Linked DNA regions of Daphnia pulex. The protein of the gene in region 2 purifies or fractionates together with the protein of the main gene of each other region. This does not show direct contact. Links are inferred from orthologs where the notes say so. Each region holds a gene or a part of one and is shown on either strand. Other genes may lie near its edges.

What was found.
Region 1: the proteins of cyclin-dependent kinase 7-like (region 2) and CDK-activating kinase assembly factor MAT1-like purify together in Drosophila melanogaster (affinity purification with western blotting; 3 studies listed by BioGRID, with this or other methods). This does not show direct contact. The link is inferred for Daphnia pulex from reciprocal best matches to the Drosophila melanogaster genes Cdk7 and Mat1.

The regions. Positions count from the first base shown.
Region 1 is NC_060019.1:8,786,091-8,790,086, reverse strand, and holds CDK-activating kinase assembly factor MAT1-like, read left to right. Parts: upstream 1-1,642; 5' UTR 1,643-1,821; coding exon 1,822-1,951; intron 1,952-2,012; coding exon 2,013-2,908; 3' UTR 2,909-3,040; downstream 3,041-3,996. Other genes in the region: Golgi phosphoprotein 3 homolog sauron-like, read left to right, coding at 12-187, 261-509.
Region 2 is NC_060020.1:945,905-950,282, forward strand, and holds cyclin-dependent kinase 7-like, read left to right. Parts: upstream 1-1,923; 5' UTR 1,924-1,997; coding exon 1,998-2,069; intron 2,070-2,129; coding exon 2,130-2,192; intron 2,193-2,263; coding exon 2,264-2,545; intron 2,546-2,626; coding exon 2,627-2,754; intron 2,755-2,818; coding exon 2,819-2,996; intron 2,997-3,067; coding exon 3,068-3,240; intron 3,241-3,294; coding exon 3,295-3,436; 3' UTR 3,437-3,472; downstream 3,473-4,378. Other genes in the region: DET1 homolog, read right to left, coding at 1-491, 549-1,697; NADH-quinone oxidoreductase subunit B 2-like, read right to left, coding at 3,542-3,745, 3,805-4,014, 4,092-4,195, 4,268-4,378.

The sequences.
Region 1 (3,996 bases), on a different chromosome or scaffold from region 2:
TATTTTTACAGGAGAAACATGGAATCCCTTGAAACTAAGATATCAACTGAAAAACGTCCGGGAACGCCTGGCCAAAAATTTGGTGGAGAAGGGAGTATTAACGACAGAGAAACAGAATTTTCTCTTGTTTGATATGACCACTCATCCTCTCACGGACAATATCATGAAAACTCGTCTTGTCAAAAAGGTGTGACGTCTTCACATTCTCAAAGCCAGCCATATCATTAAACCTTTTGTTCCTTTGACCAAACCATCTACAGGTACAAGAAGCAGTCTTATCCAAGTGGGTAAACGACGCTCATCGAATGGACAAACGCATGCTGTCACTCATCTTCCTGGCTCACGCCTCTGACGTGTTAGAGAATGCCTTTGCCCCATTAAACGACGACGACTACGAGCTGGCCATGAAACGGGTTCGTGAACTCCTCTACCTTGACTTGGACAACGAGAGTGCAAAACCTGGAACCAATGAGTTGATGTGGGCTGTTTTTGCTTCCTTTACCAAATGATAACGTTATTATTGTTACTAATATTGTATTGCTATCCCTTTCGTACACTCCTATCCCTTCCCATATCATTTATTTTTCTTATTTTCTTTGCCTATCCCCTTTCTTTTGATCCTTATTTAGTTTCTTTCTTTTTTTGTTCCGCGTCTCCATTATTTTTCCCGTTTTTTAAGCTACTGGCCATCGAAAAAAATAACCCTACCTTTGTATACCTACATAGCTGCAGCCAGGCTAGATTTTCCAATTCATTCCTTCTTTCAAACCATTTTTCAGTTATTACTAGCCCCTCCTTCTTTTTTTAACAATATTTAGAATATCCTACGAGTGTTATTAATTTTCTCCATTTTGAGTGTGCGTTGGGAAGCCTCGATTTATCTAAAAATCATTTCCAAAATTACCGATCACGCTCACAGTGCACTTGTTTCCTCTTTAATTCAAGTTTTCTTTAAATGGTGAAAGGGAAAATATTCATTTAACGAAACCACTATTATTATTATATAGCGAACTCTCATGATTTAACGTGGGTTGAAACGTGGAGGAAAGTGGGCAGAGGAGAGAGACGTTTTTGTTACAATTCTGGGGAAATCCCGTTGTGGTATGTATTGTAAATATACCTTCCATCGGGAGCGCAGCGCGCCATCTTTAAAAATACAACAATATAAATGAAATGAAAAATATGTAACCTGCAAACTGTGAAATGATTTGCGGATTGCGACCCTCAAAAATTCATTTGGATATGTGTGTTTAACAACTCCCTTTAATCGGCTAATGCTATATATTAGGTACTATATTATGTGGGAGAACGTGTATAACATGTTTTATTTCATTACTGCATGTACACACTATTGGTAGTTTGAATAAAAAAATCAGGAATTCGGATGCAACATGTGGTAGATTTTTATTGTCTTTTGTTCCTTCTTTACAGGTAAAATTCAGTGCTGCCATCTTTACGTACAGTGGTTAGCAACCGGAAGCTAGATCAAGGGAAGCGTGGTTGTTAGAAAATGTGAATTTGGGCTGCTTCCCATCTTATCACAATCTTTGGTGTGATTCCCAATGAATCAAGTAATCAACTCTGAAAATTTGGAAATGAAACATTTTCCGAACAAAAACTGACATCACGTGCGGAGATGTTAAATAACGAAGCGGCAACAGTGGTTGAGTCGTCTGCTTGAATCGGTTGGGTTGGTTGAAATGTGTTGAAAAAAGTGCACGAAAATATCAACATGCTCAATTGATGATTCTTCTTTGTATTTATGAAAGCGCCAATGGTTTGAGCAGTCAACCTTAACATTTTTCTTGATAGACATTGACAATGGATGGAAACGATCAAACGTGCCCAAAATGCAAGACAACCAAATACCGAAATCCTGCCATGATTCTCATGGTAAATGCCTGTGGTCATGCTCTTTGCGAGTCCTGCGTAGAACTTCTCTTCGCCAAAGGTACCCCATTTTACAACTTTATTTACTTTTTTGGAGGGTAGCTCTAGTATCTTTTTCTCAGGCTCTGGGGCTTGTCCGGAATGCAAGTGTGCACTCAGAAGACAAAATTTTAGAATTCAGCTCTTTGAGGATCCTGCTGTTGACAAAGAGGTTGATATCCGCAAGAGAATTCTGAAAGAGTTTAACAAACGCCAGGAGGATTTCTCCACTCTGCGAGAGTACAATGATTACCTGGAAGAGGTGGAGAATATAATTTTCAACCTGGTTTTCGATGTTGACTCTACAAACACCAACAAGATGATTGACAACTACAAGAAGGAAAACAAAGACATCACAATGAAAAACAGAAACAGGCAGAGCCAAGAAGAGATTGAGTTGGAAGAGCTATTGGAAGCTGAAAAAGCCCAGCAGTCGGAAAAGGCCAATTCGTACGTCAATGCCGAGCTGGAAGAAAAGAAGCAGAAACACAAGGCTCGAGAGAAACTTATCGATGAGCTCATGTTCTCGGACGCCGATGCCAAGTCGATCGTGGCCTCTCACGTTCAAGCAACCGCCGCACTGGCTAAGGAACAACCGAAAGCAGCAGCCCAGGCCGGTGGACCAGTTGTCAAATCGAGCAAATTCTCATCAGGAATTCAGATTGGCCTTCGTCAGAACACGAGTTCGTTCCTTCCCATTCCCAAGCAACAAGATTTGCCACTCTTCCATTACTCGGCTCCCGTTTTCGACTACAACGGGCCTTCACCTCCGGCCATCGAGGTGCTCGGCAAGTTGAAGTATTTCGCCAATATCCGAGCGGCCAATGCTACTGAAAGAGCCGGTGGCTACACTGAAGCTTTATCTTGCTGCCGGGCTCTTCAAGAGGCGATGGGGGGATTGTTTTATATCCCGCAATCGGGCCACAAGACAGCCGTAGCCGCTTCAGCCGAAGAAACCGACGACATGGAAACAGCATAAACCTTTCTCCTTTACCTACTTTTTTCAACAAAATTTGTCTGCTGGCCTCTCCTTTGAAGGACAAACATTTACCCTCTTTTGTAATTTATCCAACATAGGCAAAATTGAAATACAACCAAGAAAAGCAAGAAATTTCCAGCAAAAACTCTTCGTACGACTTAATCACGGCATGACCAACAAATCGATCGGGGAATTCTTTTTCTTTTCAAAAGGTCACTATTGTAGGGTCGTATTGGTTTTGATGCCGGAATCCATCCCTCATGACAGAAAACAACAACAACGTACGCCTGAATTTATTTGAAAAGGGGTTGTTTTTGTTTTCCAACAGTTTTAATTGCGTGTGTGGGTTGGATTTTTGTGGCATTTCATTTTTATCCTCTAAACAATCGATTGTCAAATTATTCCAAGTGGATTAAGATTTCCGTCTGGTTGAGAGAGCACAGCATTTTTGATCCATCACTCAACGAGGCCTTTGGAGATTCAAAATTCGTTTTTTTTTTTTTTTTCAAGGCTTGTTTGAAATCCGAGTTGATCCTCATTCCCCTCGGAGCCTTTAGACGCCCAAGAAGGAATCCATCAACGTGGGAAAAAATCCCCTCTCGAAGCCTAAGAAGAAAAAGTACCTTCCTTCCTATTGTTGGAAGCCTTTCTTCAATGTTGTATAGCTTTGATGGACTTTTCGTAGGGCAGTAGAGACACAATAGTCGCTCCCTACCAGAGACTTAAGTTGATCCATTCCTTCTATGTGTGTCACATTTTCGATTGGGGAGGGGGGCCATGAAGCAAGCGGCCTACCTAGCAAAGGAATTCTCTTTTCTCCCTTGGCGTTTGTTTGGGTAGGAAAAAAGAAACAATTGAAAAAAAAGGCTCCTCATTCCGCCACTGGATGCTTCTCCTGCCGGGGATCGGATAACTCACCGTCCTCCATTCCGAACCTATTATTACTCCTGCTGTTGTTTTCTTTTACAAGTTATAAACGACAATGGATAAAGATGTGTCTTTTGTAACTTGAAACTTGCTTTTCTTTTTGGCCGAGATCGTCTTTCATCGCCGTAGAGGTCCGTCTCCTAATCGAGTCGAGTCTTTTC
Region 2 (4,378 bases):
TGAAAATTGACTACATATTCGGAATTGGTTCTCTGAACACTTATGGCAAATGGATCTGTTGGATGAAACGTGAAAGCAACAAGGCGACGGGCAGAAGAAGGCGGAGCTGGCCGGCCAAGAATACCAGCATAAATGCGAAACCGCAGCAGTCCAGATTCACGGACGTAGAAACGAATGGGGTGCTCTCCACTAGTCTTTGGACGCTCCATGAGCGAAACCCATTTATCGTCATAGGAAAACAGCTGCAAATCAAGGTAAGGCGAAGAGGAATAGGATTGTGCTGAAATGGGAAGTTGTGAAAGAAGTCGTTTTGTGGCTTCCGTCTGCCCACCAAAGCGAGCGCTGACAATGGTCTGCTTGAATCGTTGATGAATGACGTTTGCAAATACGTTGCTGGACGGTGATCCTTGTGTTGCGTTGCGTAGTAAATCGCAAAAGTTCTCGAACAAGTTCAGTAGTTCCTGACTTGTGTTTTCATAGACGTTAATAACCTGTAAAACAATAATACGTGGGATTAAGTTTTTTTCTTTTAATTATAATCAAGATACCTGTGCGTTTTCCATATTGTAAACGACAAAGAAGGCCGGTTGCGTATTTGGGTCTGGAGCTCGTAGTGTAACCACATCTTCACTAGCATATTTCAGAAGCAAATGTGACTCATCCAACAACTGCATTTTCCAGATTCGGAGTGCGCGAATGTGATCAAAGTTCTGATAGAACTTTCGTACGTGAAAGAGATTCCCTTCGGCTTCAGCCATGTTGATTGCTCGTCGGTAGAGAAACACTAGTAAACGATGCTTGAGCGCGTTGACAGTTGCCTCTCGAAACGGACGAACCAACTGACCCGAAGGCCAAAGTCCCCGTACTTGATTGATTAACCATTCGTCATCGTCGAAACAAAATCGACCTATAGTTTTTACATCAGCAAAATAGCCATCGTGTGAAATTTTAAAAATGTGTATCGTTTGATGCTGGACAGAGAGAACTGCTAGAGTGTCTTCATACAAGTAAAGTCCTTGGTTGTGTGAGAGAAAGATTTTGTCGGTCTTCATTGTTCTAGTATCACAGAGCCTTCCATTGACGATGTCAACGATGTGAAGTGAGCAATCTTCTAGTGGAGAACGAGGATGAGGAGATACGGATTCATTATTACGGAAAATATCAAAAAAATTTGGCTGGGGCTCTTCGGGAACGTACGAGGCTGAACCGACAATAACAAATCTTCCGTCACCGACAAAGAGACTGCATTCGCGATTTAGTTGTTCACCAACAGGAGTTACAGCAATAGTATGCTTTAACTGGAAGAATTTAGAAAATACTTTACTTCTTAAATTTACAGCTTCATTGGTATCATTTCCAACAAACTCTCTCGTTCCTGGAACATCTGTAAGTAAATCTTCTACTGCACTTGGTCCAAGATATTTGTAAACTTCCACTGAAGTTTGATCTGAAGAGAATGCAATAAAGTACTTGCCGTTGGGTGTAAATTTTCTCAAATAGCATGGTGGCTTTTCTATGTTGACAATTGTAAAATTTGGGACAACACTTTGATAAAATGATCGGCAAATGTGATAGTTTCCGGGTTTGACATGAGTCTCTCGACGAATCAGTCGAATTACAACATTCTGCGAGGGAATTTTTCTAGGAGTCAACTCGAACTCACCATGGTCAGCCTGTCTATATTTGGGGTTCATCATTTTCAGAACCTTTTTTATTACTCGGCATTTTTACTACGTATCTGCAATTCCCATTTTATTCGCCGTGAATTTTAGAAGTTTCAGATTTTTAGTGATAAAGCACATGTGAAATAGAACTGAAGCAGGTTTGAGATGTCAAAATCCGAAACATTTTGTAGAACAGATCGATCTAGCGGTGGTAATAGAAAGATAAACAATAGTTTTTCACGCCACCTGTTGACGAGTGAAATTCCATTTTAAAATAATCGTTCTTGACGGGTGATTAAAAGTTGAAAGAAACTTTGAGTGTATGAATGAAAAATGCACGTGAGTGGAGAAAGAGAACCTAGACTTCAGCGATATGAAAAGATTGAATTTTTGGGAGAAGGACAGGTAAGGTTTTGATTGGCACTGTCTTTTGTGTATGTTCAACTGTTTTATTTTGTAATTTAGTTTGCGACAGTCTACAAGGCGAAAGATACTCTAAACGATAACAAAATAGTTGCCGTTAAAAAGGTTTAAAAAATGTGTTTTCATTTCAGCGTTTCCGGTTCGTTTATAAAATACTAACACTATTTCTGTTCAAGATTAAACTGGGTTCACGAGAAGAGGCTAGAGATGGAATCAATCGAACAGCTTTGAGAGAAATCAAGTTACTCCAAGAACTCAAGCATGACCATATAATTGGTTTACTTGATGTCTTTGGTCACCGTTCTAATGTATCTCTGGTGTTTGACTTTATGGATACTGATTTGGAGCAAATAATCAAGGACACAACCATCATTCTCACTCCAGCACACATTAAAGCTTACATTCTTATGACACTTCAAGGACTTGAATATCTCCATCTTCTATTTATTCTTCACAGAGTAATAATAATAATATATATTTTTCCCCTGTACATTATGACAGAAGTATGCACATTCTTTTTTTTTCAACTACCATTTTAGGATCTGAAACCTAACAATCTTCTTGTTGATCGTCAAGGAATACTGAAACTTGGTGATTTTGGTTTGGCAAAATCGTTTGCATCACCCACTCGTATCTACACTCACCAGGTTGTGACGAGGTGGTATAGGTAATTTGAAGAAATGCAACATAAATATTCAGCTGAAATTAAAATTGATCACACCTGAAACTAGGTGTCCAGAACTGTTGTTTGGTGCTCGAATGTACGGTACCGGTGTTGATGTATGGGCAGTAGGTTGCATAATGGCTGAACTTTTGCTTCGACTCCCCTTTTTACCTGGAGAATCTGACTTAGATCAACTTACACGTATTTTTACAACTTTGGGCACTCCAAACGAAGAGAATTGGCCAGTAAGTACATAAAACAATTTTGAACTCAACCGTCTCCCACCTTTAAACTCTAGTCATATTTCCTTGATTAGGGACTGCTTTCGCTACCAGATTTTGTTCAGTTTAAGGCTTTCCCCGTGATTCCAATGCGGCATATTTTCACCGCCGCCGGAGATGATTTGCTGCAGCTTTTGAGTCGTTTTTTGGCATTGCATCCTTTAGACAGGTGTACTTGTAGCGAAGCTTTGCAAATGCCGTATTTCAGGTATGTATTTTGATTAATTTTTAGATATAAAATTCTAAGTTTCTTCCTTAACAGCAATAAACCAGCTCCAGCTCCAGGATCATCTCTACCTCTACCTGCATCTCTAAGTCAAGCAGCAGTCGACAAAAGCGGAACAAAACGTAAAGTGACGGACAACGGGGAGGGAGGTTCATTAGCGAAACGTTTAGTTTTCTAATAAGTGGTTGAACCAATACATGTGTTTCTAATATAACCTCTAGGTTTATTTCCACCACTCTTGTTGATACAACTTTACAATTTCAGAAGCTTATGACACATTTGCTTATTTTCTGTACCACATCTGAATAGTCTTCATCCGTTTTACTTTTTTCTGTAACTGAAGGATGCCGTACATCAGCGCTTCGGCAGTAGGAGGGCAGCCAGGGACGTAGATGTCAACTGGGATAATCCTGTCGCAACCACGCACAACAGAATACGAATAATGGTAGTAGCCACCACCATTAGCGCAGCTTCCCATAGAAATTACCTGGAGATAAATAAATAAATTCATGATGCCTAATATCTGTGAGAAAGTGTTCCGGTTACCCAACGAGGTTCGGGCATCTGATCGTAAACTTTACGTAAAGCAGGAGCCATTTTGTTGGTAAGTGTACCAGCTACAATTATGACATCAGCCTGACGCGGAGAAGCACGAAATACCACACCATACCGATCCATGTCATATCGCGGAGCTGCAATGTGCATCATTTCTACAGCACAGCAGGCAAGCCCAAAGGTCAGAGGCCATAAAGATCCCTGAGAGCGAAAGTTGAATATTAAAATTTTTCCAGCTAATCCTTAATGATTAACTTCACATAATCTTTAATTTTTACCTTTCTTCCCCAATTGAGAAGATCATCAAGCCGGGCAACTGCATACTCTGCCATATTGTTGGTGTTTTGAAATGGAGAGTATGGTCTCTTTTTATCCAGGGCAGCTAAGAATATTCAAAGATAAGATGTTGGTAGTAAGAAGTGATCTCAAATGCCTAAAATGGAAGGAAAATTACCATTTCCTTCAGTTCCAGATTGGGGAACGGTGCTCTGATTCCGTTTCAGTACGATAGAAGTCATGGACAAACTCGACGGTACTGAGACACTGCTGTTAATCCCTAAGGACT